4 linked regions of the Elephas maximus indicus genome follow. The protein of the gene in region 3 purifies or fractionates together with the protein of the main gene of each other region. This does not show direct contact. Links are inferred from orthologs where the notes say so. Each region holds a gene or a part of one and is shown on either strand. Other genes may lie near its edges. The genes, in order: COPS8, EZH2, CUL4B and UBXN7.

The links.
Region 1: the proteins of CUL4B (region 3) and COPS8 purify together in Homo sapiens (affinity purification with mass spectrometry; 7 studies listed by BioGRID and IntAct, counting the BioPlex papers as one, with this or other methods). This does not show direct contact. The link is inferred for Elephas maximus indicus from reciprocal best matches to the Homo sapiens genes CUL4B and COPS8.
Region 2: the proteins of CUL4B (region 3) and EZH2 purify together in Homo sapiens (affinity purification with mass spectrometry; 4 studies listed by BioGRID and IntAct, with this or other methods). This does not show direct contact. The link is inferred for Elephas maximus indicus from reciprocal best matches to the Homo sapiens genes CUL4B and EZH2.
Region 4: the proteins of CUL4B (region 3) and UBXN7 purify together in Homo sapiens (affinity purification with mass spectrometry; 3 studies listed by BioGRID and IntAct, with this or other methods). This does not show direct contact. The link is inferred for Elephas maximus indicus from reciprocal best matches to the Homo sapiens genes CUL4B and UBXN7.

What each region holds. Positions count from the first base shown.
Region 1 is NC_064824.1:139,246,734-139,254,374, reverse strand, and holds the start of COPS8 (COP9 signalosome complex subunit 8), read right to left. Parts: upstream 3,021-7,641; 5' UTR 2,882-3,020; coding exon 2,804-2,881; intron 942-2,803; coding exon 871-941; intron 1-870. UniProt on the Homo sapiens protein: Component of the COP9 signalosome complex (CSN), a complex involved in various cellular and developmental processes.
Region 2 is NC_064826.1:1,338,108-1,345,461, forward strand, and holds the start of EZH2 (histone-lysine N-methyltransferase EZH2), read left to right. Parts: upstream 1-4,336; 5' UTR 4,337-4,449; coding exon 4,450-4,579; intron 4,580-7,061; coding exon 7,062-7,183; intron 7,184-7,354. UniProt on the Homo sapiens protein: Polycomb group (PcG) protein. Catalytic subunit of the PRC2/EED-EZH2 complex, which methylates 'Lys-9' (H3K9me) and 'Lys-27' (H3K27me) of histone H3, leading to transcriptional repression of the affected target gene.
Region 3 is NC_064846.1:35,958,927-35,966,645, forward strand, and holds the start of CUL4B (cullin-4B), read left to right. Parts: upstream 1-4,701; 5' UTR 4,702-4,789; intron 4,790-6,947; exon of another isoform or gene 6,948-6,972; coding exon of another isoform or gene 6,973-7,719. Other genes in the region: C1GALT1C1 (C1GALT1-specific chaperone 1), read left to right, coding at 6,973-7,719.
Region 4 is NC_064819.1:17,997,049-18,004,565, reverse strand, and holds the start of UBXN7 (UBX domain-containing protein 7), read left to right. Parts: upstream 1-4,497; 5' UTR 4,498-4,567; coding exon 4,568-4,640; intron 4,641-7,517. UniProt on the Homo sapiens protein: Ubiquitin-binding adapter that links a subset of NEDD8-associated cullin ring ligases (CRLs) to the segregase VCP/p97, to regulate turnover of their ubiquitination substrates.

The sequences.
Region 1 (7,641 bases), on a different chromosome or scaffold from region 3:
CAAAGCTTAAGACAGAACCATTGCCCAAATAAGGCATTCCAACATAAAGATAAGCAAATCCGCACACCATCAAGGCTCTAGCATTTCCTGACAATGTGTGTGGGACCCAAAGCAATCACCTCATCATGGCCCTGCTGACCAGTGGCACAGAGCCTCCAAACTCTGCCAGGATGGGAGTTTATAAGGGTTTGAAAACCTGAACAACAGCAAACATATGATGATGGAATTATAAAAAATTAAGCAGAGAACTTACACAAACTGTAATAAGACTCTTGGTATTTAATTTTCAAAAAGGTATGGAAATAAAAAGATTTGGAAGAATTTAAACCAGAAACGTATCAGTAATTCTCTATGGGGTGTAAAACGATCAGAGACTCCTCTTTGTCTGCACAGCTGTGCTCTCTGGTTTTTCTTCAATGAACATGGATAATTAAAACACAAAACTCTGAAGAAATCTCATATGCTTTGCTAATAAATTCTTCTTAGCTTTCTCAAACAATTCTCCCTTTCAGCTCCTCTTGGACTATCGATTAAATGTGAGGTTACATCAACAAATGTCATTAGAAAGTTAAAAAAAAAAGGTCAATAGATGTTAAGGAATAACTGCACATAGACTTGACTAACACTGTAGTCTCTCGTAACAAACTGAAATATTTTTATAAGGTACCTGATAAACAAATGTAAATAAAAATAACTCAGCCTAATCAGAATTCATTAAGTTATGCTTCAAGGTAAAACAGGTGTATGCAGTGTTACGGTAAAAGATACAGCTCGCTGTGTCCATGACTTAGTGTGCTGCTTCAAGGCGAGGGTGATTCTGTCTAACTTTGGGGACACTGCTGCTGTTGGCTTTAGGTAGAAGGCACGTACATGTCGTTATAGAGCAGATACAAGGCCAGAAGCTGACCGTACACTGGGGCTGTGGCAATTCCTCCAGGAGCCTACAAAGCCAAAAGGGAAAGAGAAAAACCTTATTTATTCTTACCTCTTATTTAAAAAAAAAAAAAAAGCATTTTTTTAAATACAATGCATGTTTTATAGCCCTATTACATATATAAAAACAGCTTACAAAAGTATCAAACACTAAAACCATTGAACGAAGCTTAGCTCTGTCATCAGTTGTGACTTATCTCCCTCTGAGCCTTAATTTCTTCACATGATAATCTAATTGGGGTCTCTTTCCAAGTTTTCAAATTCTAATTTAAACGACTTTACTATTATAAGACACAAACATTCTGAACCAATTCCTAAAGCACTATGACTCTACCCATTATATCAAATATGTCGAACAGTCAACCAAAAAAAAACAAACCTATTGTCATGGAGTCGATTCTGACCCATAGCCACTCTGTAGGGCAGAGTAGAACTCCCCCATAGGGTTTCCAAGGAGCAGCTGGTGGATTCGAACTGACAACCTTTTGGTTAGCGGCCAAATGCTTCAACCACTAAGCCACCAGGGTCCACATGTTGAACAGTTAAGTACCGGTAAATGAGTGGGGAATAGAAAAACATCATGGCTGAGGTACAAAAACATTTCTTTCCCCATTTAACTTCAGGAAACATTTATTAAGCGTTTTTTATCAGTGAGCTAGAGCTACTTGGTCTCACTGTTCTCTCCTTTAATTAATTAACTATTTATAATAATGTCATGCATTTAAATGTCTAACTCAAAAAAGTCTAAACTATTAACTTCAACAGCATAATAAAACTTTCATTTGTCTTAACTAAAGACAAAACAGCAAATTTACTTGGTAGGAGTATTATGAGAATAAGACCGGCTTTCTGAGTCAAGGAAAGGTCCCACCTTTCTTGGTCTGTTTGTATATACATGGGCACATGCCTGCACAAGTGTCTTTAATAAAACCCACGTTTCCCCTCCCCCGGCCAATGACAAAGAAAGCAGCGTGTCTCGTCTAATTAATATAAAAAGCATACTGGTGGGTGTTAGGAGCAAAGACGCATATATTTGTTTTGTTTTTTCTCTCACAAGCTGAAGTTATTTGTCTTCAAACTTCAGCTTGTAAGAGAAAAAACAAAACAAGCTGAAGACAAATAACAAGTTAAACAGCAACAAAAAAGCCTTGTATAAGAAATACTACCCTACGCTTTGAAAAGCAGAAAAATTGGAACGAATTCTAAAAAGTATGTTTACTGTCCCCGCACCTGGGTGCACGTCGCAAATCGTTAACAAAGTACTGTTAACACAAGCAATGTAAAGGTCTTATCTGGGTACAAATGAACCAAAAATTGATTATAATATGGAAAAACCCAAATCTCAAACCCGTCGGCGTCGAGTAGATTCCGACTCATAGCGACCCTGCAGGACAGAGCAGAACTGCCTCATAGGGTTTCCAAGGGGCAGCTGGCGGATTCGAAGTGTCCACCTTTTGGTTAGCAGTCAAGCTCTTAACCAAAAAGGGCCAAAATTAAACTAAAGGAAAAAAAAAAAAGTCAAAATACACTGTATCAGACCAACTTAAGTCCCCAACATGGAGTCGGGGGACAGGAGAATTTCCACGCCTAGTAAGCCCAACCCGGGTCACACGAGAAAGGTGGCCCGCGCGGAGGGCGAGGCGTGATGACAGGTGGCCGGACAGCCCTGGTGCGGGGGCAGAATGGGGCTGCGACCGCGGTCCAGGCCGCGCTTCCCTCCAGGAGGCCGGGCCCGAGGGCTTCCAGGCGGAGCCGGCCGCAGCCGCCCGGGCTCCCCGCGCCCAGCTCCCGCGCCCGTCCCCTGCCGGCCGCCGTAGGGCCCGTTACCCCGGAGACCCCGCGGCTTCTCCCGGCCCGAGCCGAGCCCTACCTCGAGCTCCTGGTTCTCGCACTGATCCAGCAGCTTCTTGAAACTGAAGGCACTTTCCGCCATCACCGCCACTGGCATCTTCCCCGCCGCTCCCGCCGCCTCACCTCCCCGAAAACCAGACCCCAGACTGTCCCTACGGGTGTCGCGCCGGCGATGACGTAAAAAGCCTCGGCCGCCGACGAGCGCCCGTAGGTACTGGCAGGCGCGCCTGAGGTTTCCGTGCGTCCTCAGACGTCTCTGCGTCGGCTCGGGGGCGGGGGCAGGGGTCGTGGCCGCTCTGGCCCGCCTCTCTATGCTCTGGAGGACCGGTCGGTCCTCGCCGGAAGTCGGCGTCAGGAGTCAAGGCCAAGTCCGGGAAGGGCGGCGTTTTGTGCCTGCGGGAGGACTCCTTTTGAAGACAACCCATACGCGGAAAATAATAAACAGAAATTCCTCTAGAGGCACAGTAAAACGTTTATGTATAATAAGAAAAGAATGAGCCCTGCCGTACTGGTCGATGCCCTGCCTAGCGTTCTGGACAACGCCCTGCGCTTAGTAGGTGCTCAAGTTATGTTTGTATGTCTCAGGTTTGTGTTTTCAACCGCCTACTTGATACGTCGGCTTTGAGGCCTAATAGGCACGCAGACTTAGGTTCAAACCCTACCTCAGTCTGTTTCCCAAGCCCGCTTTTTCGCAGCCCTTCCCTCTTAGTAAAGGGCCTCACCATCCTCCAACCTGGCTCCCCTCTGCGCACCCCGCATTCGAGACTCAGGGAATCCCCGCTCTTCGCCTTCAGAATACATACAGAACCAGAACCTTTTCCAACTCGGACCCCTGAAATAGGCCAGCTACCACCCCTGTCTGCCTCCAGCCTGTTCTCTACACAGCAGCCAAAATGACTTTTATGAAACATAAATTAATTCTTGTTATTCCTCTTTTCAAAGCCCTAAAATCCAAAGGCTTTTCCATTGCTTACAAAGCTTACATGATCCAAATCCCAGCTGCTCTCTGACTCTGCTCCAGGCCTTGGGCTCCTTGGTTCTCTGCATGATACTGACTGCTGCCAAACAGTATGTTATAAATGTGTTTATTCGCTACTAAACCACAGGCGCCCCCAGGGCTAAGGCTTTGCTTTGTTCCCAGATGGCTTCACTAGTGAATTCTACCAAACATTTAAAGAAGGATTTATGCCAATTCTTCACAAACTCTTCCAAAAATTAGAAGAAGAAACACTTTACACTCATCTTATGAGGCTAGTATTACCCTAATACCAAAACCAGACAAAGTCATCACAAGGAAAGAAAACCACAGACTAAAATTGAAACCCCAAGTCGCCGTGGCTTCCTCCACTCCACTGAGGCACTCCCCCAACCTTCGTCTGCTGTCCTTGCAAACCACAGCTTCTAACTGCAGTTTGCTCCAAGCCCACAGCCCTACAAACCTTGGCTTCTAACCTTAGTTTGTTGGGGTCAAATCTTTGTACGTGCGCAGGTCAAGATCTTGGCACATGCGCAGATCAAGAGAATTCTGTACCTGACCCCAGGCCTGAGCATCACCAGAGGGGAAGATATTCTCCAGCACCCAGTGCCACCCGAGCTACTTTGGAAAGCGAGAAGTCCCCCAACTTGAACTTCCTGTGAAGAGTGACTCAGCATGACTCAGCACCCAGATCCCCAGGGATCTGAGGACATAAAAGCTCCCCAATCCTTACCTTGCTCCTTGTCTGCGCAGACAATAAATTTGCCACTTCCTATTTCCCTTGCAATTGGTGTCTGTCTTATTTTTGTGTTTTTTCAAAATCTCTTATGAATATAGATACAATTGTCCTCCACAAAATACAGGCAACCTCATCCGGCAATATACAAAATCGATTACATGCTATGGCCAAGTAGGATTTAGCCCAGAAATGTAAGGTGAGTTTAACATTCAAAAAACAATTAATATAATACGCCATATCAATAGAAAAAGGTACCAAATCCATAGATTCAGAAAAAGTGTGTGACAAAATCCAACACCCCTTCATGATAAAAATACTCAACAAACTAGGCATAGAAGGGAATTTCCTCAATGTGATGAAGGACATCTGTGAGAAACCCACACCTACAGCATATTTAATAGTAAAAGGTTGAATCCTGTGAAGCAATGAATCCCCTTACAGAGAGAAATTTGACCTTTGTCCTCAGTTCCTGAGAAATAACTGAAATTTCCTGAGTAATTACAGTACCTTTTGTTATTTGGGAGCCCTGGTGGCAGAGTGGTTAAGCACTCGGCTGCTAACCAAAAAAGGTCTGCAGTTTGAATCCACCAGTTGCTCCTTGGAAACCCTATGGGGCAGCTCTACCCTGTCCTATAGGGTTGCTATGAGTCTGAATTGACTCAACAGCAATGGGTTTGTTACTTAAGCTTAAGGACTATACCAGAGGATTTATGCTAATGAGTGGGGGGCTGGCCAAGCTAGAAGGACCACATCATGACCTGAAATCAGCTGACCTCAGGGAGATAAGGGAACATGATTCAATCACGCATATGCAATGAGGCTCTTACCATGAATATGAATATGAATATGAATATGCAATGAGGCCCCTATCATGCATATGTAATGAAACAAATAAAGGCTCTGGACACAGAGGCTTCAGGAGCTTCCTGGTTGGTGAAAGGCATGGATACACATGGGAGGGTAGTGAGCTTCTTGGGGGGTATGGAAACTCTTCATTGAGAATACCCCTGGACCTTGCCCTGTACATCTCTTCACTATGCTGATTTGTATTCTTTTTGCTACAATAAGCCTGTAACCGTAAGTATAGTATTTTCTGAGCTCTATGAATTGTTCCAGTGAATTATCAAACCCAAAGGAACAGTGGGAGCCAGCAAGTGAAAGTTAGGAAGTCCAGGGGAGGCCCCCAAACTTGGACTGACATTCTGAATGAATAGTGGGAAATACCCAAGTTTGTAGCCAGCAGGTTAGAAGTAAGGGTGTCATGTGGACTCCCAGGCTTGTGGCTGGCATCTGCCTATTTGGCAGTCTGAAGGATGGTGTCCTTTTAAGTTGTGAGATCTGACCTAGCTGGGGGTGGCTAGGGTCAGAACGAGAAAGTGCCGTGTGGGCAGAGGTTGTCAGAGATAATTGAGAAATGGGAAAGTGGGCATTTGAGTAATCTTCACATTTTGAGGATTGAATTTATGTAAATTTTTATCTGTGAAAATGCTTTTCTCCCAAAATCAAGAGGAAGACAAAGATGTCCACTGTCACCACTTCTATTTAGCACTTCACTAGAAGTTCTATTCAGGGCATTTTGGGTTTGAGGGTGTTAATGTGGCCAAGAACAAGATGATAGATTGCTCAGGTACTTCCATCGGACCACTGGCTGAGAGGGACATTTGTGTCCTTGACGGGTGAAATATCAGTTTGAGCTCTTGGGCAAGGCACCCCTGTGGGCGGCCCTGTGGTAGATGTTGCCATTTCATTAAGCAAGGTAGCAATACACAATGAAAACCATGACATAGTCTTAGCCTTGGACTTAGTGTACTGCCCTTGGGAAGCTATCCTAATGAAATAATTACTGAAGAGGGAATGAACTGCAGCTAAAACGTGGTGCAAAATCATAAAGTACAATAGCTAAACCACTGAATGACCTAATAGGTGCATGGTTAAACATGCCATGTCTGTGTCTTAGTCTCCTAGGACTGCCATAACAAAATACCACAAGTGGGTGGCTTTGAAGAACAGAAATTTATTGTCTCACAGTTCTGCAGGCTAGAAGTCCAAGTCAGCGTCTCTTCCATGTTGATTCCTCCTGAGGACTATGAGAGCGGAGCAGCCGCATGCCGCTCCCCTTGTTTCTGGTGGTGAGAATCCTGGGAGCTCCTTTGCTGCTTCTATGTGCATCTGCTTCCATCAGCTTACGCTGTGTCTTCACCCCAGGTATGTCTCTGTGTCTAAAACTGCTCCTCTTCTATGAGATGCCTCTGAGAAGGGTTTGGGATTAGGGCCCACCCTACGCCTGTATAACTTCGTTAATTTTTATGAATGTATCAATAAATACGGGAAGTGAATAAAGAAGTGAAAACTGTTGTAAGGTTTTTATGGTTAAGGTTATGTGTCACCTTGGCTAGGCCATGATTCTCAGTGGTATGGCAGATATAACGCAATCACTGTCCATGATGTGATCTGTTGTGAGCAGCCAATCAGTTGAAAAGGCAGTTTCCTTGGGGGTGTGGCCTGCAGCCAATATATATGGATGTTACAGCAAAGCTTGCTCTCTCTTGATCCTACATTAAACTGTCATAGTCTAACCTCTGATTCTTGGGATGTGAACCAGCAGCCTGCTGTCTGACCTGCCAATTTTGGGTTCATCAGACCCTACAAATGTATGACTCAGGAAAAATCTCCAGCCTGAGAGCTGACCCACAGAATTTGGGTCTTGCCAGCCTCCATAATTACATGACCCAAATAAATCTCTCTCTCTCTGTGTATATATATATGATATGCAGATGACACAACCTTGCTTGCTGAAAATGAAGAGGACTTAAAAGACTTACAGGTGAATACCAAAGACTAAAGCCTTCAGTATGGACTACACCTCAACATAAAGATGAGAAAACTCCTCACTGCTGGACCAATAAGCAACAGCATGATAATGGACAAAATATTGAAGTTGTCAAGGATTTCATTTGACTTGAATCTACAATACCAACAACACCCATGGAAGCAGCAGTCAAGAAATCAAATGACATATTGCATCGCACAAATCTGCTGCAAAATGCCCCTTTACAGTGTTAAAAAGCAAAGATGTCACTTTGAAGACTAAGATGTCCCTGACCCAAGGCATGATATTTTCAGTCACCTCACATTCATGTGA
Region 2 (7,354 bases), on a different chromosome or scaffold from region 3:
ACAGTTAAGTGTTCTGGAATTCCAATTTTCTGCCGTGTTATCCATAATTTGTTATGATCCACACAGTCTAATGCCTTTGCATAGTCAATTTTTATATACTAATAAATGGAGCTCTGGTGGTGCAGTGATTCCGTGGCCAACTGCTAAGTGAAAGGTTGGCAATTTGACCGTGGCTCCTCTGGAGAAAAGACCTGGCGGCCTACTCCCGTAAAGATTACAGCCTAGGAGACCCTAAGGAAGTCCTATGGGCTCACTGTGAGTCGAAATGGACTTGGTGGCACACAACAACAGATACTAAGGAAATAATTGTGACATAGTTTTAGGACCAGAGCACTGAAAACTTGGGCGATCTCTTTAGCAGCAAGTCATAAATTAAGTGTCCCCCTCTCCCAGCAAAACAAAACTCTTTAGAGTTGCGAGCATCTATATAAAAAAAATTTTTTTTTTTTTAATTAAGTGAAGCTTGCATGGCTGTATACTCTGTGTATCACCCAGTGAACTCTGCTGTCATTGGCTTATAAAATTTGTATTTACATCCATACTAGATTGTTGATTAAAGTTAGAAAGCTTGAGAAACTTTGATAATGGAAAAAAGTAAATGAGGAGTATAAAAAAGATCCTGCAAATTTTTTCAAGATGATCTTTATCCGTTAATTGTATTATATGAGCTAAATTAATAGATGGCGTATCAACCTGTCTTCAGTAAATTTTTAAGTGTTGAAAAGACAAAACATCATGACCTATTCATTTTAGTGTCTTAATTTTTAATACTAAAGACCATCTTTACGTATGTTACTCGCTGAGGAATGCTTATAAGCAAAACAAAGATTTAAGAAAATAAGACGATTGATTTTTGCTAAACATTGAATTTCAAACATCATTAAAGCCACCCTTGTGTGTTTTTGATCCAGTAGCACATAGTGAAATTCTCTATGTTCTATCTGCAGATACATGAGTATCTTCAGTGTGTTTACAAGTAATAGCCAGTTACTGAGAACCTTCCCTGTGCCTAGTATGTGTACAGTCTCCAAACCAAGCATTTTACTTTTGAATTTTGAAAATCATGCATTTTAATTATTTAAAAGGAAACACCATGTATCATTTGTTAAATGGGAAAAGTAGAATCCATCTTCATGGATTTTATAAAAGATTCTGTTAAGAGGAACTTAATTTTGAAGTATGCTGACCTGTCATATATTGGGTGGAAAAAATTGCAGCGTGAGTGTCCCTGTTCATCAATTCTGATCTACAGTACTTCAGTATTCAAATTATTTAATCAGTGTAAGCAGAATTGGCAAAATTTAATTTTAAAGCCCCAAGTTGGAATCGTCTTGATGACTACTAACAACAGCAGTGGTATTGTATGTTACCATAAAAAGTACTTATGGGTTAGAAAAGGTTGGAAATGCCTTCTAGAGTGAATTAGGGACTTGTAGTTTTTTTTTGTAGATGGCAGAAATGTTGCTCGAACAGGCTGGAAAAGATAAGTTGTGGCCCCTCCTTAGTAATTTTGCCTGTTTGGAGAATATTTGTTTGCTTGAAATAGAGCTCAAGTTATGCTACAAAGAATGTGTATTTTGACTCCCCGAGTGGTGTAAACGGTTAACGTGCTTGGCTGTTAACCAGAAGGTTGGAGGTCTGAGTCCACCCAGAGGTCCTTTGGAAGAAAGATCTGGGGATCTACTTCTGAAAAATCAACCATTGAAAACCCTGTGGGCACAGTTCTATTTTCAGACACATGAGGTGTCCATGAGTTGGGGTCAACTTGATGGCAACTGGTTTTGGTGTAAAGGAAACCAGCATTTTAGTTAGGAGAGGATATTGAAATCATATTGCTTAAATTTTGTTGGGTTTGGATTTGACCTTCTTTAGCTGTCTGTTCAATTGAGAGTGAAGTTAGTGCTATTAGACTAGTTAGGAAGGATGAGCGGTACTTGTAGTTATCACTTGGTTTTCTTTGGACAAGTAGGAACAACTGGAATGTTACCTTGGTTTAGCAAATCCTTTTTAGGAGTAAAGGGCCTTTAAGAAAGGTAGCCAAGGGCACTGAAGTGCCGGCTAGGGGACAGTTTTTGGTTTCTTGGCCTTTAGCAACTGAGTGAAGGACAGGGAGTCTTCCTAGGTAAGGCTTCTCCTAGGTAGACCAGAGCTGGACTCAGCTGGACTCAGGGCAGGTGCAGCCTGGTCATCTGAGAGGTAGAGAGGCTTGTCTCCTAGTGGGGAGTAAGTCAGCCCTGCATCACTAGTCTTCAAGAATGTCGCTGGTGAAGAGGAAACCTGCTGCCAGGACCTGCTGCTGCAGGGCATGAAATCTCAGCCCTGGATGTCCCTTAGCCAGAAGCCCCTGCACTTCAGGTGGTAGAAAGCCTGACCCAGACTGGTTTAGACAAACAAAGGTAGTTTGTTGACTATTGTAACTGAAGGAATGGGGAGGTGACTTGGCAGGGCTGGCCTGGCTCAGGGCGTGCACAGTGTGCCTGCGGTGGTTTCTTTCTTTCTCTTTTTCTGTTGTTGACTCTGCTCTTTGCAGACTCTCCTTCTGTGGTTACAAGATGCCCCCAGCAGTTCCTTGGGCTGCATGTTTCCATGTTCAAATCTAGTAGAGACCATTCCTAAGAGTCCTTGTGATGGACCTATCACTGTCTCCAGGGAGATGGTGTCCTTGGTCAGCTGAGTCGCCTCCTCAGATGTTCCTGACCCTTGGAGGATAGCTGTGTGAGTCCCTGATGAGGGGTGAGTTGAAGCAAACACTCTTGTGTTTACTTTTATGGGCAGTGAGGTTAAAGGGCCTGCCCGTGTGGGTGATCTTTCTGAGATTGGTTTGATTCATAAAACAGGCTGGACTTTGTGGTCTCTCCTGAGTTTTATTTAACCTGTAGAACAGCAGTCATGGAAGGCTGTACTGTATTCTGTGAAGGGTTTGATCGTCCCTGGCCATAGTCTGGTTTGGCTTTTGAATTTTCACTCACAGGTAGAGTCTCGTTCCAATCACTGGAGTTATGATTTGTTTTGAATGAGGAAGCTGTTTTCATATCCTGGATAATGTCATTTCACCTATGAAACTAGAACATCTTTCCAACGAGAAATTAAAGACAGAACAAAACAAAAAACTGGTTGTATCCACAAGTCCCCATCCACGTAGTAGCCAGTGTTTAAATAAATGTTGCCTTTGCCGCTACATCATATTTGGAGCTTTAATCCTCGAGCACAGAAATGGAGTCAGAAGGCCCACTTGAGCCCAGCTCTGCCCTGTCGTGGGAGGACCTGCTGTGGGCCAGCTGAAGGGCCAGGTATGTGTGTGTGTGGCTCTCATTTGGTGTATCTGACAAGCCTTGAGGGTAGGTGGTGCTATCCCTGTTTTTGGATGAGGACTTTGAGGAAATACCAGCTTTCTTATCAAATGTAAATCCCAGAGGTGCCAGGATTTGTGCTCGAGTTGTATTCATCGGTAAGGGTAGGTGAGGCCACAGGGCCCATATTCCGTCCCTGAGATTCACGGGACATTTCTGCCTCAAGTGCGGGCAGGCAGCCTCCCTTCCATACCTGGGCCCAGTGGGAGACAAGCCTGCAAGTCATCCATTTCAGTGTTTTTTGTTTTTATTTGTCTTTAAGTCTACTGTTTGCCAGGCACGTAGCCAGGCTCAGGGGTTTTACAAGTGAATAAAAACGATTCTTCTATTGAGGAACTTAAGAGTGGGAGCCGACCCGCTGACAAACGGGAAAGCTAGACATTCATAGACAGACATAGAGTGCTGTGAAGGCGGGTGGGCGTTTGTTTTCTGTAAAACATCCTTCTCAGTGGTGCCTTAAATTTTCTCATCTTTTCAAGGATCTGCCTACCTATCCCCATACTTTGAAAGAACAGTCTGAACACTTAGATTTATTTCTTAGCTTGTAATTCAGAGGTCACGATCCTTACATTTTGATAGTTTCTCCTGAATGAACTAGCATATATGTGTGTGTATATGTGTGTGTGTGTATAGTGTGTGTATATATATGCATGTATGTGTGTGTATATAATGTGTGTATATATATATATTGTGTACGTCTATATATGTGTGTGTATATAGTATGCGTATATGTATATAGTGTGTGCGTATATATTGTGTGTATGTGTGTGTGTATGTGTGTGTACGTGTATATATGTGTGTGTGTGTATATAGTGTGTGCATATATAGTGTGTATGTGTGTGTATGTATGTAGTGTGTGTATATAGTGTGTGTGTATATATGTGTGTATGTGTGTGTATGTATAGTGTGTGTGTGTATATAGTGTGTGTGTGTGCGCACGTGTATATATATTTATCCCCCCCCGCCCCCCCCCCCCCCCCACTTTGCAGTTACCAGACCATCCTGTAGGTTAAAGTCTTAACCTATGTACTTCTTTGGAAGAGTGTTGAGAAATTTATAAGCATAGAACTTATGGTATATGCCCTCCTTTTTTCCCTAAATGTTATTTATTTTGTTATTGAGAATATACACAGCAACGTGTATGCCCTGTTACAGAGATGTTTGTTCTGGAGTCAGTTCTGAAGTGTCGTGTCGACCTGGCATCCTGTCTGGCTCAGGTGGCATCTTCGGTAAGAGGGGAGAATCTTGTCATGGCAAGCTTTATTAGAGACCTTGCTTGGAAGGAGGGCAGCAGTGCTCAAACAATACAGTGCTGTCTCTTCACCAGGGCATAAAATGTGCGTCTTAAAAGGCATGTTGCCGCAGTACCCACGCCACAGTGCATTAACTGAGCACCACAGTCCTGCAGGTTTTATGGCGCAGGGGCGCCAGCTCCAAGGACCAGGAAGTGGCCAAGGCAGCAGGTAGACTAGTTGTCATGATCCAGTGGGCTCTCATTTTTAGCTGATTCCTTTCCCTTCTAGTTTCTAGGCCTTTGGAGTGCTGAAAGGTCTGAAAAATTTTGCGTAGAAATACTTACGCTCATCTGTTAACTAAGCTAGCATGTATGAAAGCAAACACGTCACTGAACTATTGACGTGTTTCTTCCTAACTGACGTCTTTTTGTCCTGCTTCACCTTCCCTTGCTAACCTCATTTTCTGCTTGAGTTAGTCTTCTCCGTTCTAACAACCCACAGATTTGCCCAGCCAGCCCCCTCAGGAAGGCCGTCCTTGGGGCCTGTGACCTTCTTCAGCCCTCATTGTCGCCCCTGCCCATCCTCAGAGCTGTCTCCTCCTCTTTCCCCCACCCTTGCTCCTGTTGACAGTGTCTTCCGGCCAGCTCCCTGCCTTCACCTGCCCCACGCCCAGCTTTCTCGAGCTCATGCCTTTGTTGTTAGTTGCCTTGAGTTACCCGTGACTCATGGTGACGTTGTGTATAATAAGGAAATGTTGCCCATTTTTGTACCATCTTCATGATTGTTGGTATGTTTGAGTCCATTGTTGGTGGCTGTTGTGTATCAGTCCATCTCACTGAAGGTTTCCCTCATTTTATGGACCCTCTATTTTATCAAATATGATGTCCTTTTCTAGTGATTGGTCTTTCCTGATGACCATCCTCGCTTCTAAGGAGCATTCTGGCTGTATTTCTTCTAAGATGGGTTTATTTATCCGACAGTCCACAGTATATTCAGTATTCTTTGGCAAAACAACAGTTCAAATGCATCAGTTCTTCTTCTGTCTTCCTTTCTCATTGTCCAGCTTTCACATGCACAGGAGGTGATTGAAAAAGACCATAGAGTCCCTCATACCTCAGAGAAATCCAGCTCATCTTTAAGGCTCCCTTGTCCTGTCTGCCTGCAGTCCTTCTCAAGTGCGCATCCTTCTTCCCCACTCTTCCTAACTCTGACCTTATAGGTACTTTTGTGTCTGGAGCGCGTACCAGACTGCATTTGCTTCTTTATGCCTTCTTGGCTAGAGTGTAAACTCTGTAAGGGCAAGGTGTGTCTCATTCACCTTTGTACACCTGTTACCTGCTTCATAATAGTCATTTATTACATGCTCGAGAAAATGCCATTCTTTGTCTCCCTTTCTTTCAGCTCTGAATAAACCACCTTCTGCTTTTGCATCACCATGTGGTTGTGGATGGAGTATTGTAGAAGTTACCACTGGCCTCAGGACCCTTTTTCTTCCTCTGAAGCTTCTCCTCAGGCAGTGCCGTATGCCTGAGGGTGTTATGTGCAGAGGTGCATGCATCCCTGGTTAGTTATTCCATCCAGAAAGCTACTTCCTCTCTCACTTTCCATTTTAAATCATCACGACGTCCTGGTGACGTTATCTCCTAAGTAACCCCTGGACTCATTCATTCTTCTCTCACTGCAGTCTCTGGCCTAGAGACCTCTGCCAGCAGCTCCCCATAGCTGCTCTCTCCCTGGCTCCTGCCCTGCAGCCAGCAGCTGCTCCATGTGTACCCCACCCTCTCAGTGCTGGATGACACTGGAGCAGAGGTCCTTGGTGTGCCTATAATAAAGCTCTGCCGGGAACTGCCCATCTCATCTCAACATGTCATGTGACCTCTGTGCTTTTGGAGGAAATGTGATAGAAAAGGATGTGACTTGGACCTAAGTGGGCTCCAAGGGTGCTGGGACCCCAGGAAGTGGGGCCCACCTGGGAGCGAGCCGAGGGCCACACCTCAGGGTTTGTTGCATCTCTCGGCCACTCTGCTGGCGGGAGCCCCTTGTAGAGGAAGGGGCTCAGGTGGGGAGTGCTGGGATGCAAGCTTGCTGTGTGCTGCACGGGTGGGTTTCCACCCACAGTGACTGGACCTATCACCACTTCTTTCTGTTGACCCCTCTGACTAGTCAGTTCTGCCTTCTGTAACAGCCAGTTTAGTGACAAGAACTTAGAATGTGCTCAGGCATTTCTTTCCCACAGAAACAAGGCTCTCAGAGAGTAAGAACTGTGGAGGCAGTGCCCTCTGGTTCCTGTCATGCTGTCACACCCTGGAAGGCAGCTGGTTTTGTGGGATATCTTCAAGGTGTAACTGCAGAGTGTCTTGCAAACATGGGTGGTATGGTGTGTGGTCATTGATTGTCACTGCTGGGATTACAGCCTCAGCAGTCAGCCTAGGCTGGCCAGATGAGTGATTTTATCATGAAACCGTTGCTTCTGCAGTGATCATGGGCCAGACCGGGAAGAAGTCTGAGAAGGGGCCTGTGTGCTGGCGGAAGCGCGTAAAGTCCGAGTACATGCGGCTGCGGCAGCTCAAGCGGTTCCGGCGGGCGGATGAGGTCAAGGTGAGATTGGCTCCCGTGAGGGGCACACACCCACCCTGGGTGGCTTTTCCCTAAAGTCAAGTAAGCTTTAATTTGAATGGCACATTCCCACCAGAGTCCTGTTCACAGCAGGGTCCCTTGAGCTGTCACAGTTAACTCCGCAGTGTCCCCTGCACATCGGTGCGCACACAG
Region 3 (7,719 bases):
AGAGTCAGAGCTCAAAACCAAGTTTGTCTTACGCCAGAGCCTAAACTCTTAATCACTACACTAAACTTCCTCTTAAAAATATGTCTCCATAATGGTTGCAGGAGCCCTGGTGGTGTAGTGGTTAAGAGCTCAGCTGCTAACCAAAAAGTCAGCAGTTCAAATCCACCAGGCACTCCTTGGAAACCCTACGGGGCAGTTCTACTCTGTCAAATAGGGTCACTATGGGTCAGAATCGACTCAACGGCAGTAGGTTGGATTTAATCTTACCGAAGCAGATCACCAGGCTTTTCTTCCCCAGAGCCACTGGGTGGATTTGAACCACCAACCTTTCAGTTAGTAAAAAAAAAAAAAACCAAACCCAGTGCTGTCGAGTCAATTTTGACTCATAGCGACCCTTATAGGACAGAGTAGAACTGCTCCATAGAGTTTCCAAGGAGCGCCTGGCAGATTCGAACTGCTGACCCTTTGGTTAGCAGCCGTTAGTAGCCAAGAGCAAACCATTAGTACCACCCAGGGACCTATATGTACACTGCTACCACAGTAAAAAAAAAAAAAAATGCCTTAAAAATTACAAGACCACATATTGCAACCCTGATGAATTAATACCACAGGCACTGGCCATCAGTGGCAGCGAGCATCACAGGGAGAGACAACCAGACAGTATGTGGCTCCTGAGGGAAGCACACAGAACCACCTATGAAGCAGTTTTTCCCGGAAAAGAAATGAACCTGATTCTAACCAAGCCTTTTGATTAGGGTTAGGGTTGCCATATAAAATACAGGACATCCAGTTCAATCTGAATTTCAGATAAACAAGGAATAATTTTTTAGCATAAGCATGTCACATGCAATAGTTAGTATGTCTCATGCAATACATCCGGGACATATTTATACTAAAAATTATTCCTTGTTTATCTCAAATTTAATTTTAACTGGGTATCCTGTATTTTTATTTACTAAATGTGGCAAACTACCAGTCCACAGGGAATACAAAGGACAGAGAAACATATTAAAAGAACCAGGATGAGGTAATCAGCACCAGACTGTGGGTAAATCTACAAGAACAATCAGATTGCTTCAACAAAGAAATGTCAAGAGAAGAAAAGAAAGTAAGAGAGAACCTAGACTAAAAAGAGACGTAAGAGACACAAAAACCAATCACATTGTAGAGATTTTATTTGGAGTCTGATTTAGACTATAAAAAAATTGTGATATTGTTGGTAATTTGAACACTCTAGATATTTGATTAATTAAGGAATTATTAATTTTCAGATATGATAGTGGTATTGTGGATTTTTAGAAATTCTTATCTCTTAGAGATCCATATTGACATGTTTACGACAGAAGGAGCTTTACAATAATCTAGAAGAAAGGGAAGTGGAAGACGTATAGATGTGACAAGATTGGCTTTGAGGTGATGATTGTTCAAGGTTCGTGAAAAGTACATGTGATTTCATTATACTTTTCTCTCTACTTCTGTGTAAGTTTGAAATTCTCCATAATAAAAAAGTTTTTAAAAGAAACAATACCTAGTACAGTGCCTGATATGACATACTGTAAACATTTTGTTGGAGGGCAAATGGGTTTGTTCATTTAAAAAAAAAAAAACTCTCAGATATTTTTAAGTAGAAAAATATTTTTGACATAAGATTCCAAGCATGAATATGCCTGAAAACACAAACTGAGATTCATTTAGAGACCAAACTATCCTCAAGCTGAAACAATAATGAATTTGCTCAGACCAGGGAATTTGTTTATTGCACATGAACAGTTGAGAAACTCTGGGCAGAAGAGTTACACAGAGGTACTTCATTCACAGAAGATATTTTTAACCCTCCAAAAAGATGTTATGCAGAAAACAATCCACCTTAGATTTTCTTCAATATTATTCCAGTGAACTGTTGCAGAAAGTCACGTCAATTTCCCAAAGGCCTGAGGGCAAATTTTGAAAATTTGAGTGCTTACACGCAAGTGAATCTCCAATTACTAGAAATTAATGACCTCTACGCTGCATAATGCATGGAATTGGCAGAAATGCTTTTCCAAAAAGGCAGTGTTTTCGGCTTTGAATGCAGTCTTGCCTTGCCTGCTATGTACATGAAGGCAACCAAATTCAAATGCAAACCCCCATAACAGGTGCAGGTTAGTGTGTTTAGTGAAGTTTAGTGCAGGTTAGTGAAATAAGCTATCTTGTTTTTAAATGTTTAATATTCCATTATATGGCTGTACCATAATTAATTCAACCATTTCCTTATTGATGAATGTTTCCCACTTTTGCTATTATAAACAATAATGCATTTTTCCTTATATATTCAGCCTTACATTCTGATGTTTTAATTTCTGTGGGAGCGATTACTAGAAGTGGGTTTGCTGGGCCCACTTATATGCTGAGTGTAAACATTCTTATTTTTAGTAGATACTAATTGCATGACTTATTAAGGTTATAATATGTAAAGGTCTAAAAAATGAAATCACCTAACTAAAGTCAATCATCTCTAACTTCATTTCAAATGTTAAGTATACTTAAATTCTGCTTTAAATAGAGAACTGGGTTCTTAAACAATTTCTCATTAGCAGTGTTTCTGGTGTTGAAAATCTTATGGTTTGTTCTGTTTCAGAGCACTGTGTATCAGTACTTCCAGTTTGGTATACCTTCCTGTACTAGAAAAAAGAAATGTTTTAAATTGCCTCCTTATAATTGTCTCTGAAATCTGAGTGAAATTTCTATCTGTCCTTCCTTGGTCCTTTTTTGCAAGGAAAACTAGTTCTCTATTCTCTTTAAAAAGGTATTGGTATCTTTTCCTCTTTGTTGCTTTAATTTTTTTTAATTCCTTTATTTGCTGCTTTTCAAATTCAAAAGTAATAAATGCTCGTTAGAAGCAGTGAAACAATGCAATACAAAGATGGATAATGACAGAGTTAACCATACTCACCTCAACCTCCGGATGTGATCAATACTGCTGGGTATAGTTCTATACTCTCTTGCTCATTCAAACAAACCAAGCATATGTGCATGTATATAAAAATTTGTTTGTTGTTACCAAAGTATAATCATACTATACACATTATTCTGCAACTTGTTTCACTTAACTATATATATATGTGCGTGTATACACATATATTTATATTTGTGACAATCTAAAAATGACTATATATCAATCAAGAAAATATAACAGAGATATTCTGCAGTATTAAATTCCTTTCCAGTTCAAAAATTCATCTTTTGTATTCCTTAGAGTCAGGGGCTGAGTCAAAGGCAGCTGACATGTCACATTACAGGGAGAGCAACTAGGGTCACAGAACAATGTGTGTATAAATTTTTGTATGAGAAATTAACTTGAACTGTAAACTTTCACTTAGAGCACAATAAATAAAAAACGGCAACTAACAACAACAGAGAATATATCACTATTACAATTATTTGTAATAAATTGTTTAATGTCATTCTTCCCTGCTAGACGGACAGTTCTATATTTTACAGGGGACTTATTTTGTTTACCACCATAGCCCCAGAATTTAAGGTAGCACCGCCATGATAATTGCCCAGAGCCTATTTTTTTGTGACTGAATAGTCATTGCTAATAGACCCAAAAACATCTAAGATAGATGTGTTTTTGGAAACGCTAGCTGAAGTCACCACAGCAGTATCTAATATAGAGAAATCATTCAGTTAATGCTATTTGAAGGAAACATAGTGACATTTAAAATATTTCTAGGGATTTGTGCTTTTTAGCAAAAACCCCTCTCTGCCACAAAAAGAATTTTATGATAGACCATATATTTAGTGGAAGGAGTTCTGCACTTGTAATTAGGAGACCTGGATTCTAGTTCCACCTCTGCCTCTACCTAGCTATGTGACCTATATTAGGTTTCTTATCCTTTCTGGGCCTGGTTCCTCATCTGTAGCTCTAACTCATTTAATTCCACTATATATTTATTGTTGAGGAGTGAACAATAATAACAGCCAACATTTGTTGAACTCTTACTCTATGGTTGGTGTTTTGCTAAGGGAGTCACATGCACTGTCTCATTTAATCTTCTACAAGATAGGCATTACTGTGATATTTTCTGTATTTTAGAAAAGAGGGCACTGAAGCGTTGAGAGGTGAAGTAAATTTCCGAGGACATCAAAGCTAGTGGTGAAGATAGGATTGGATTCCAGGCAGCGTTGCTTCGGATCCCAGCCCAGTAACCATAGCGAATTCTTACCCTCATAATTCAATGATTTTAGTGGCTGACATTTGGGCCCCAGTCCAAAAGTACTCGGGTGGAATACCTCTTTGCCAATATAAGGGTGCAATGATGCAGAGCTACCTTACAGAAACCACTGAGACATCCCACGTACGGCCGCCAGGAACCAGAGTCTACAACACCCTCGGTTTTCACATCGGGAAGAAGAAGAGGTGGGAGGTGTCGGCGGGTCCGATGCACGCACGCCTCTCTAGGCGTCCCATTGGGTACAGGAGAGCGTGCGGTGGGCGGGGAGAAAGAGGCGCGCTGCGTGCGCACTGAGAGAAAGAGGCGCGCGGCGTAGGCGCGGGCCCTTCTGAGGTCTGAGCGAGCGGGCGGGCGGGCGGTTCAGCCGGGCCGAGGGCCCGTTTGCCCCGCCCCGCTGTCTTCGCCTTCGTGGCCTCCGCTTCTTGGTCCTCCCCACCTTTAGTGAAACCAACGAGAGGACTCCGCCTGCAGCTAGAGCAGCCTGACTGGGAGCGTTACCAAGTGGCGCGCGGACCTGAGAGGAAAGCTGTGCGCGGCTGCGCTTTCCCACCCCTGAGGCGTTGTAGACACCGGTGAGTGCCGGGGTCTCGGCCCCCACCCCCGCGGACCCCGGAATGTTCTGACCCTGCCTCTTCCCTGAGGAGGGCCTGAGCCCTTGCTCACTCCCAGCATGCTCCACGCGGGACGCCAAGGCAGGTGCTGTTGGAGGAATAGTCAGTGGGGGAGATGGAGAGTTTTGAGGTGACCGTATCCTACTCCTTACTTCTCTTCTCCCCTTTCGTCCTCCTCCCTTTTTGATACTCCACCCCAGCACCTTCACCTTCTAAAAAGATTCATCCCAACCACTATGATAGTGCTTCATTTGTGTTTGTTTTAAGTTTCCCTCTCTTCTTCAAATATCCTATCATGTGCGTTTCCAGTGTTACATTTTTTGGCCTGCCTTGATTGGAAAAAAAAAAAGAAGTCTACTCCTTAGAATAATTTGTGTGAATGGTTTTATTTAAAAATTGCTGACTTCTTGAGTTTGTTCAATATTTTTGCAGCCATGAGTAATAACCCATCAGGCAGAATTCTGACGTTATTTGCCATTATGGAGCTGAGAGACACATGTGAAATATATTGGCCAGAAATAATGAAAATTGTGTAATGTGAAATGCCACATTCCTATATACGTTAATTTTAGAGCACCCCTGACAGTTCTAATTAAGCAAAGCTTGTTTCCTGTTCTCTTTTCCTTCTTGGAGCTGTTTATTGATCAAGTGCCTTGAGTGATACAGTGCAACCATCCTGCTTCTCCCCCCACCCCAGTTCTTAGTATGATGATGTTGGGTGTAAAATGTCAATTATGGTTAACAGATCCCCATATGTATATATACACATATTTTTTTTTGGTCTGTAGGAAAACAAGTGATTCATTTGTTAAAGTCTCAATACTATGGGTAGAAGCACCGTAGAAATTGATATGTAATGAGAAAAATATTAAAGTGATGTCAGGAGATCTGGTGTCTAGTTCCACTTCTACCATTAACTTCGTGACTTTGGGTCAGTTGCTTAACCTCTCTGGACCTTAGTTTCCCTATTTGTAAAATGAGATAAAAGGCATTAGATAGCTTCTAGTGCCCCTTTGAACTTTAAGAGACAAAGAGAAAACCTGAGTAGCTCAATAAAACATTCTTTGTGAAGATGAAGGGGTGATTGGGAAAATACTAGCCTTTACAAGCATAAATGCTGGTTGTATTTAATGTTGGCTTTTTCAGTTGGAAACCCTGGTGGTGTAGTGGTTAAGAGCTACCCAAAAGGCAGTTCAAATCTACCAGGCATTCCTTGGAAATCCTATGGGGGCAGTTCTACTCTGTCGTCTAGGGTCGCCATGCGTTGGAATCAACTCGATGGCAACAGGTTTGGTTTGGTTTGGCTTTTTCCAGTTGAAGTAAAAGTGTAGAGTTTCCCTTTTTTACTGGAAGAAGAAAATGCCTTTTCAGGAAATAAAATGTTTGTTAATGGTCCCCAGATATGTCTGTATTGATTTAGTTCTCATCGAAATAATTTAACTATTCCCATCATAAGCTTTTAATACACCAGTTAGTTGAGATACGTATTAGGTACAGTATTGGAAACCATTTAGTTTTAGGAACAAAAGTGTAAATATTAGCATATATGCTATCAATCTCAAGATACTTGATTTAGATGTACTCCAAACACCTAAGGTCAGCAGCCATCAGTTAAATAAAGTACTAGGCTGGGAATAGAAATGTCAACACAGATACCATTGGTGATTTGCCACTTGTAGGTGGCTTTATCTGTTAGACTTAAGGTTTTGGTGTGAAGGTCCATTTATATCTGCAAAGGTATTTGAATAACATAATGCAAGCTTGTGAAACGAAATTCCTTTAAAGAGAACGATGAACGGACAACTTCTGTGACATTGGTTTCTAGAGTTAATGCTTTGATTTAGTACTTGGACAATTAAATCCCCACAGATGAAGTACAAAAAAAAAAAAGAGCCTTCTCACAGCAGATTGTACTCCATAGAGGAGTTGCTTCAAAGTTCCAGTTTACATCAAACAGTAATCAGATGCCACTGGAAGCTAAAGATTCCTAGGGTCATTGGTACTATGTACAACTAACTGGATTTCAAACTTGGGAACCTTTTTAATGTTCAGAGCAAAATGTAAGTATATAAGGAATACCAAATCAAATGACTAATCTTTTTCCTTTAAATATTTTAAGGATCTTTTTCTTCTTTATAGGAAAAATGCTTTCTGAAAGCAGTTCATTTTTGAAGGGTATGATGCTCGGAAGCATTTTCTGTGCCTTGATCACTATGCTAGGCCACGTTAGGATTGGTCATGAAAATAGAATGCACCACCATGAGCATCATCACCTACAAGCTCCTAACAAAGAAGATATCTTGAAAATTTCAGATGATGAACGCATGGAGCTCAGTAAGAGCTTTCGGGTGTACTGTATCATCCTTGTAAAACCCAAAGATGTGAGTCTTTGGGCTGCAGTGAAGGAGACTTGGACCAAACACTGTGACAAAGCAGAGTTCTTCAGTTCTGAAAATGTTAAAGTGTTTGAATCAATTAATATGGAAACAGATGACATGTGGATAATGATGAGAAAAGCTTACGAATATGCTTTTGATAAATATAAAGACCAATACAACTGGTTCTTCCTTGCACGCCCCACTACGTTTGCCATTATTGAAAACTTAAAGTATTTTTTGTTAAAAAAGGATCCATCACAGCCCTTCTACCTAGGCCACACTATAAAATCTGGAGACCTTGAATATGTGAGTGTGGAAGGAGGAATTGTCTTAAGCATAGGATCCATGAAAAGACTAAACAGCCTTCTCGGTATCCCTGAGAAGTGTCCTGAACAGGGAGGGATGATTTGGAAGCTATCTGAAGATAAGCAGCTAGCAGTCTGCCTGAAATATGCTGGAGTGTTTGCAGAAAATGCAGAAGATTCTGAAGGAAAAGATGTATTTAATACCAAA
Region 4 (7,517 bases), on a different chromosome or scaffold from region 3:
GCCCGAGAAGACAAAGTATTATAATGACATGTGCAAAGAGCAGGAGATAGAAAACCAAAAGAGAAGAACATGCTCAGATTTCTCAAGCTGAAAGAACTGAAGAAAAAATTCAAGCCTCAAGTTGCAATAGTGAAGGATTCTATGGGGAAAATATTGAATGATGCAGGAAGCATCAAAAGAAGATGAAAGGAATACACAGAGTCATTATACCAAAAAGAATTGGTCGATGTCCAACCATTTCAAAAGGTAGTATATGATCAGGAACCAATGGTACTGATGGAAGAAGTCCAAGCTGCACTGAAGGCACTGGCAAAAAATAAGGCTCCAGGAATTGATGGAATATCAATTGAGATGTTTCAACAAATGGATGCGGCACTGGAAGCACTCACTCATCTATACTAAGAAATTTGGAAGACAGCTACCTGGCCAACTGACTGGAAGAGATCCATATCTATGTCTATTCCCAAGAAGGTGATCGATCCGAATGCAGAAATTATCCAACATCACTAATATTACATGCAAGCAAAATTTTGCTGAAGATCATTCAAAAGTGGCTGCAGCAGTATATTGACAGGGAACTGCCAGCAATTCCGGCAAGATTCAGAAGAGGACGTGGAACCAGGGATATCATTCCTGATGTCAGATGGATCCTGGCTGAAGGCAGAGAATACCAGAAGGATGTTTACCTGTGTTTTATTGACTATGCAAAAGCATTTGACTGTGTGGATCATAATGAATTATAGATAACATTGCAAAGAATGGGAATTCCAGGGCACTTAATTGTGCTCATGAGGATCCTGTACCTAGATCAAGAGGCAGTTGTTTGGATAGAACAAGGGGATACTTTGTGGTAAAGTCAGGAAAGGTGTGCGTTAGGATTGTATCCTTTCACCACACCTATTCAATCTGAATGTTAAGCATATAATCCGAGAAGCTGGACTATATGAAGAATGGGGCAACACAACAGGAGGAAGACTTATTAACAACCTTTGATATGCAGATGACACAACCTTTCTTGCTGAAAGTGAAGAGGACTTGAAGCACTTCTTGAAGATGATCAAAGATCACAGCCTTCAGTATGGATTACACCTCAACATAAAGAAAACAAACATCCTCACAACTGGACCAATAAGCAACATCATGATAAATGGAGAAAAGAATGAAGTTGTCAAGGATTTCATTTCACTCGGATCCACAATCCACAGCCATGGAAGCAGCAGTGAAGAAATCAAGAGACACGTTGCATTGGGCACGTCTGCTGCAAAAGACATCTTTAAAGTGTTGAAAAGCAAAGATGTTACCTTGAAGACTAAGTTGTGCCTGACTCAAGCCATGGTATTTTCAATCGCATCACATGCATGCGAAAGCTGGATGATGAATAAGGAAAACTGAAGAAGAATTGATGCCTTTGAATTGTGGTGCTGGAAAAGAATACTGAATATATCATGGACTGCCAGAAGAAGGAACAAATCTGTCTTGTAAGAAGCACAACGAGAATGCTCCTTAGAAGCAGGGATGGTGAGACTGTGTCTTATACACTTTGGACATGTAGTCAGGAGGCATCAGTCCCTGGAAAAGGACATTATGCTTGGTAAAGTACAAGGTCAGCCGAAAACATGGATTGACACAGTGGCTGTAACAATGGGCTCAAGCAGAACAACCATTGTGAGCATAGTGCAGGACCAGGCAGTGTTTCGTTCTGTGGTACATAGGGTCACTATGAGTTGGAATCGACTCGATGGCACCTAACAACAAGTTTCCCGTTTTAAATCTTTTAGTTTTGTTTTATCCTTCATTATTGTATCCCTTCACTTAAGGTTCAGGGTTCCAGGATTGACCGTCTCAATCCGTTTTGCTTTTTCAGGTCTTTATTGCAGCTGGATGGCTTAGTGTATCTGACTGGTCCGCCATCTTGGTTCTGCCTTCTTCATCTTTACTCTTGAGGAATCATTTACTGTGAACAGAATTCTAGTTCCATCCTTATTTTTTTCTCAGCAGTTTAAGTATAATATCCCATTATTTTTTGCTCTTCTCTTCAGAATTTTGTATCAAACTAATTGCTATTCTTTTGTAAGATATTTTCTATCATCTATTGCCAGTTGCCCTGGGGTTATTATCAGCCTTGGATCACTTTCTACTAATTTTTCAACTTGGGTAGTTCCTGGCCCCTGCAGGAATTAAAATTTGAATTCCAAACCATCTCAGGACAGGCCTGTGGTTAGGAATTCTTAGAGTTGATACTTTTAGCTACAGCTCACCTGCAGGAATCCAGAGGCAGAGAGACAAGCTTATTGTACCTTCCCAGTGCTGAGGGTGTATTTTTTCTTGTCTGAACTTTTATGTTATTATTGAGCAAGTAGTTCTTCAAAGGTTTCAGCTTTAAGGGGAGGGGGAGTTTCAGTTTAACTAGCCCACTTCGTGAAGGCACAAGGCCTCAAGTCTTGCTGCCGAGTGACCTTTAAACCCATTCAATCAGACATACAACCTCCCCCTCTTTCTGCTCTCTAGCCCCAACATTATCTCAAACTTATTGCACAATGATTTTGTTCCCTCTTCATTTTTGGCCACTGGAGATTTCCTGTATTTTTCTGAGATCTAAGCTACCCACTTAAACAAATGCTTGTTATGATTTGGGTGGCATTTCTAGGTGTTTTGCTCTCAGGTCTGTGTGGCCTGTCAGAATGCCCCACATCCTTTCTTTGCTCAAGAGTATTCTTGATTAGGAATCTACCTTCTTTTATACCAATCCTGTCTTTCTGAAACTACAATCCTATAATTAACCTTGATTTGACATGGTTCTTTCTCAGTTCTCCCCAAGCATACATTTACATACTGTTTCTTAGAATTCTCCAGATGACTCATTCTATCTTTTATTGAGCCATTTTCTTGTGAAGATGCAAGATATTTGGATGGGGGAGGGGAAAGGCTAGAACCTAAACTGAGGCTCTTTAACCTTATTCTCTAGGTGGGATGTCATTACATCCGAGTGCACCTCACTCATATAATTCTATTTAAAAACATTTAGAAGTATACAAGTAACATACAAATATTCTTTTTTGTTTAAAAATAAAAGATACAAAATAAACTCAAAGTCCCTTTTCAACACTGTCCCTCTCGCTCCCCTTTCTAGAGGTAACTATTATCAGTGTTTTCAGGACATCTTTGCAGTGCCATTTCTATACATTTTCTTTTCTCTCAGCTGTATATACACCTATACATTTTCTTTTTACAGAAACGATACCCCCTTATTTTACAGATGAGGAAACTAAGTGGGACCCTGAGGGGAAAAATGTGTAGACAAATTTATTGAAGGAAAGCCAACGGAAAAATCATTTATTAATACCCTACTATGAACTGGTCTCTACTTCTTTGGAACAAAATACAATGAAGGAAACCAAGGACTCAAAGAAGCAACTAGCCCACATGAACCATGGTCTCATCTAGCCTGAGACCAGAACTACATGGTGCTTGGCTACCACAACCATTATTACCAGGGACACAATAGAAGATCCCAGGTGGGTTGGCAGAAAAATGTGGAACAAAACTCAAATTTCTAAAAAAAAAACACCAGACTTGCTGGACCAAGAAAGACTAGAGAAACCTCTGAGACTATCTCCCTAAGATATGCTTTGAACTTGGAACTGAAGCTACTTCCACATAAAAGATAGGCTTATAAAATAAACAATATCACCTGTGAGTACTGTGATCCCTTAAATAATCAACTACCTGAGATCAAACGGTCAACATTTACCCTAAAGCAAGGATGAGAAGATAAGGAGGGGCAGGGAAGCTAGATTTAGTGGAAACAGAACAAACAGAATGGAAATGACGAGAATAGTGACACATTGTGTAACCAATGTCAGGAAACAATCTGTATAAAAATTGTTAAATGGGAACCTACTTTGCTGTAAACTTTCACCTAAAACACAATAAAATATTATTTTTTAAAAACCCCTACTACGTGTCAAATCCTGCACCATGCTATCTTGGCATGAAAGGTTCTGGTATTTTGCTGGATAGGGTCGCTGCACTAGGTTAGGGAAAGCAATTAGTTTAGACGTTGGAGAACCTGTACGAGTGGCTTCAGTGTTGATGATATAGGATTTGGATTTTGGTGGGAGCTTCAGCAAACCTAGCAGAGGGGTTGTGGAGCTGCAAAAAAGAAAAAAAACAACAACAAAAAACCCTGTCACCGGTAGTTGGGTCTGTCACTAAAGCTTGTCAAGTTGAATCGCGAGGAACCTGCTACCTGGCGAGTCCGAATCTTCCTCTGGAAAGCAGGAGCTCATACCGTGTCTACCAGGCTGGCCTTGGAGTTTGGAGAGGGAGGCACCAGAGGCTGCAAGAAGGATGCGGCGAGCAGACAGCAACCGAGCAGCCAATCCGGAGAGCAGAGAGAGCGCTCCCGGACCGGTCGGGAAGTGCGCCTGCGCTCACCGCTCAGCGGGCCGGGAGGGGCGGAGCATGGGGATGGTCAATGAGCCTGCGCAAACGGCGCTGCGAGGTGGGGGAGGGCGGTCCGTGTGTGTCTGTGTTGTTGTTCGGCGGCAGCGGCGGCGGCGGTAAGATGGCTGCCCACGGGGGCTCCGCCGCGTCCTCGGCGCTGAAGGGGTTAATTCAGCAGTTCACCGCCATCACCGGTAAGAGACGCGGTTACCGGAAGGTGCAGAGCGGGGTCCGGGGCGGGCGGCGGGTCTGCCCCGGGCTTTCTTCTGCCTTCATGCATTCCTCCCTCGGGCTTTACTCAAAGCTCCCGTCCTCCCTCCTGAGGAAGAGGCGACGACGGCGTCGGGGTCTCCGGGTTCAGGCGGGAGGCGGCCCCCCCGCTGCCCACATTCTCGCTCGTGGTCTCCTCGCAGTGTGGAGGGGGACCCTTCACCCCTGCCAGCCCGGTCCCGGCGAGTGGGCCGAGCCCATCCGTCCCCGCCGGCCCGGGGGCCTGGGGGCGGAAGGAGTGGGGGGCCGCACCCGGGCCACCGCCCTCCTCCTCCTCCATCATCTTCCTCTCTTCTCTGGCCAGCTCGGGGGCGGAGTGCGTCCCCTCAGCTCCTCTTTCCCGGCTCCCCGGCCGGGTCATTCTCCCCCGTCCCTGGCCTGCCCTTCCCCTGGCTGGGCCCCTCGGAGCCATCGCTGTGGCCCTGGCTGGTTCGGGCCCTCCCGCCTTCACGGCGAGGCTAGTGGCTTCGGCAGCGCCTTCACGGATCCGGGGAGATCGGCCGCCAGGAAGGGGGCGGCTGAGAAGCACCTTAGGAACTGGGGTTTTAAGAGTAAAATGAGGGGATCCCCTCCACAAGCTTAATTGTGAAGGCCTGGAGGAATCCTGGCTGGCGTTTCCCACCTCCCTATAATAAAACCCCAAAGACCGAGGCGATGGCGCCGGGGCCTCCCGCTGCTCACATAGGGATGGCGGCAGAAACTTCGCCGAGAGGAAATCTCTCTCTGGCTGTCGGTATCCCTCAGACCCTAGGCCTGGGTTTTTCTTTTTTTGGACCCCTGCGAAGGGCACACGCAGATCCTCTCACCGCCTGGGGGAAAGGCCCTAAGCCATTCTCTGTATTCCCTGGGTCTTGGTTTCTCTCTGATGGTGCTGAACTTTTTTTGCATGAGTTATTAGAGGGCGGAGCAAATGATGAAGTTCTCTGTGGAGTGATTTGAGAGGAGAGTACTCCATGTGCCGGGGTGTAATTTTGCAGCTCTAGTTTGTCATTTTGGAAAGAGGTCAGAATGTTAGTTCTCTCGCCTAGCAGATCCTCTCTCTGATGCTTTGTTAAATGCGGACGATCCTTTCACTGTTAATGTTTCTCAGAGTTTGTCGTGCAAGATCTGGCTAAGGAAAATTTTACATTGTTTTACCCAATACAGGTTGTATGCTAGTTATCGTTGGATAATTAAAGCTCCTTTTATTTTTTTTTTTAACTCTGCAACGGTAACTAGATGTTTGATGCATTGTTATCTAGCTCCTGCGCATGCAGCAGTGGGTCAAAGTTGGTAAAGTAAAATTTGTAATAAAATCGGAGTGGGGAATGGAGTGATAATTTTCATATTCATAATTTAAAATATACTAAAGGTGTAATGCCATTACCTCCCGAAGCCACTTTTGTGGGGAAAATTATGTGTATAAGTTAACATGTACTGCATTATGTTTATATAGGAAAATCTTTGTAGTGAATCGGTTATAGAGTATCATTAATAATCCTTTTTTTAGGTTTATTAGAGGTAGTTTAATATGACACTTATTTAATTTCAGTTTTTTCTGCAGAGAAACTGAAATTAAATAAATGGACTCAGGAACACTTATTGCTTTAACTTCACATTATCTCTTGTAATGAACATTTTTGTTAGATATAGACAAAATCTGAAGTGTGATGAGGTGAACTGACTCACTGAACTGCCTTTATTCTGTCTCTGTTTGCTAGTCTATACTGCCTGTTTCCTGGTCACAGGCGTTTCTATTTCTGAATCAGGTTGGATTCTCTCAGTAGACAATGGTATCTAGAATTCTGCAAAAGCAGAAATACCTTAGATTGTTCCTAATCTATTGTGAATTGTTATTAATAATTTTTTTAGATTCTTTCAACGAGGTTATGATTACCATTAGAAACACCTGATTGATCCCTCCACCCCTTTTCATGTATCTAAAAAATAAATTTGGGGGTTATCTTCACATATATTGTAAACAGTAGTGTTTATGATAAGAAGGTAGTTGTTTTTTATGCATTGCTGGGTGAATTAGGCTGACCTTAAAAAAAATTTTTTTTTTTTAAGAGCTTATGCTCTGATTTTGAAAAGGTTTACTTACCTAGAAGCTCAACATTCTGATACAAGCAACTAATTCAATGGCATTTAGAAATAGAAAATTGAAAGATTTCTTAGTAAATCTTATTTCTTACTAAATAAAACAAATTTCTCTATAGTACGTGTGTATGAAGGAATGAATCTGATTTTTAAAATTTTTTAATTATTAAAAAGATGACAAACATGAAATAGTTTGGAAAAAGGGAAAAAAACTAATTTTCCACTCTTACATCAATATTATTTATTTTATTATGGTCTCTTCCAATTCTCGTTTACATACTTATTTTTTGCATTATAGATTGTACTGTACATAATTTAGAATTCTAAATTTTTCACTTAACGTTACACCGTACGCATTTTTCTATGATTGCGCTCTCTGACAAGCAGGTAGCCAAGGAAGTGATGTTCTTTGAAGTAATCATGTTAAGACGCTGTGTACCACCACCACTGATGCCTTCAGAGCTGTTTAAAGCTACATAAAATAAGTTCTTTTTAGTCATACCCCATTTTACAATATTACTTGGTTTGATAGCCCTTGATATTCATCACACATGACTTTGAATGACTGTTGGCTACTTTTAGAAGTCTTATCAGTTCTCAAAACATGAAAGAATATGCTGCTGAATCTGAAAGGAATTTCAAAAGAACAATTTAAAAAAATATTTTGAATCATGATAGTATCCCATTAACACTAACTTGGGCTGACATCCAGCCACACGTAT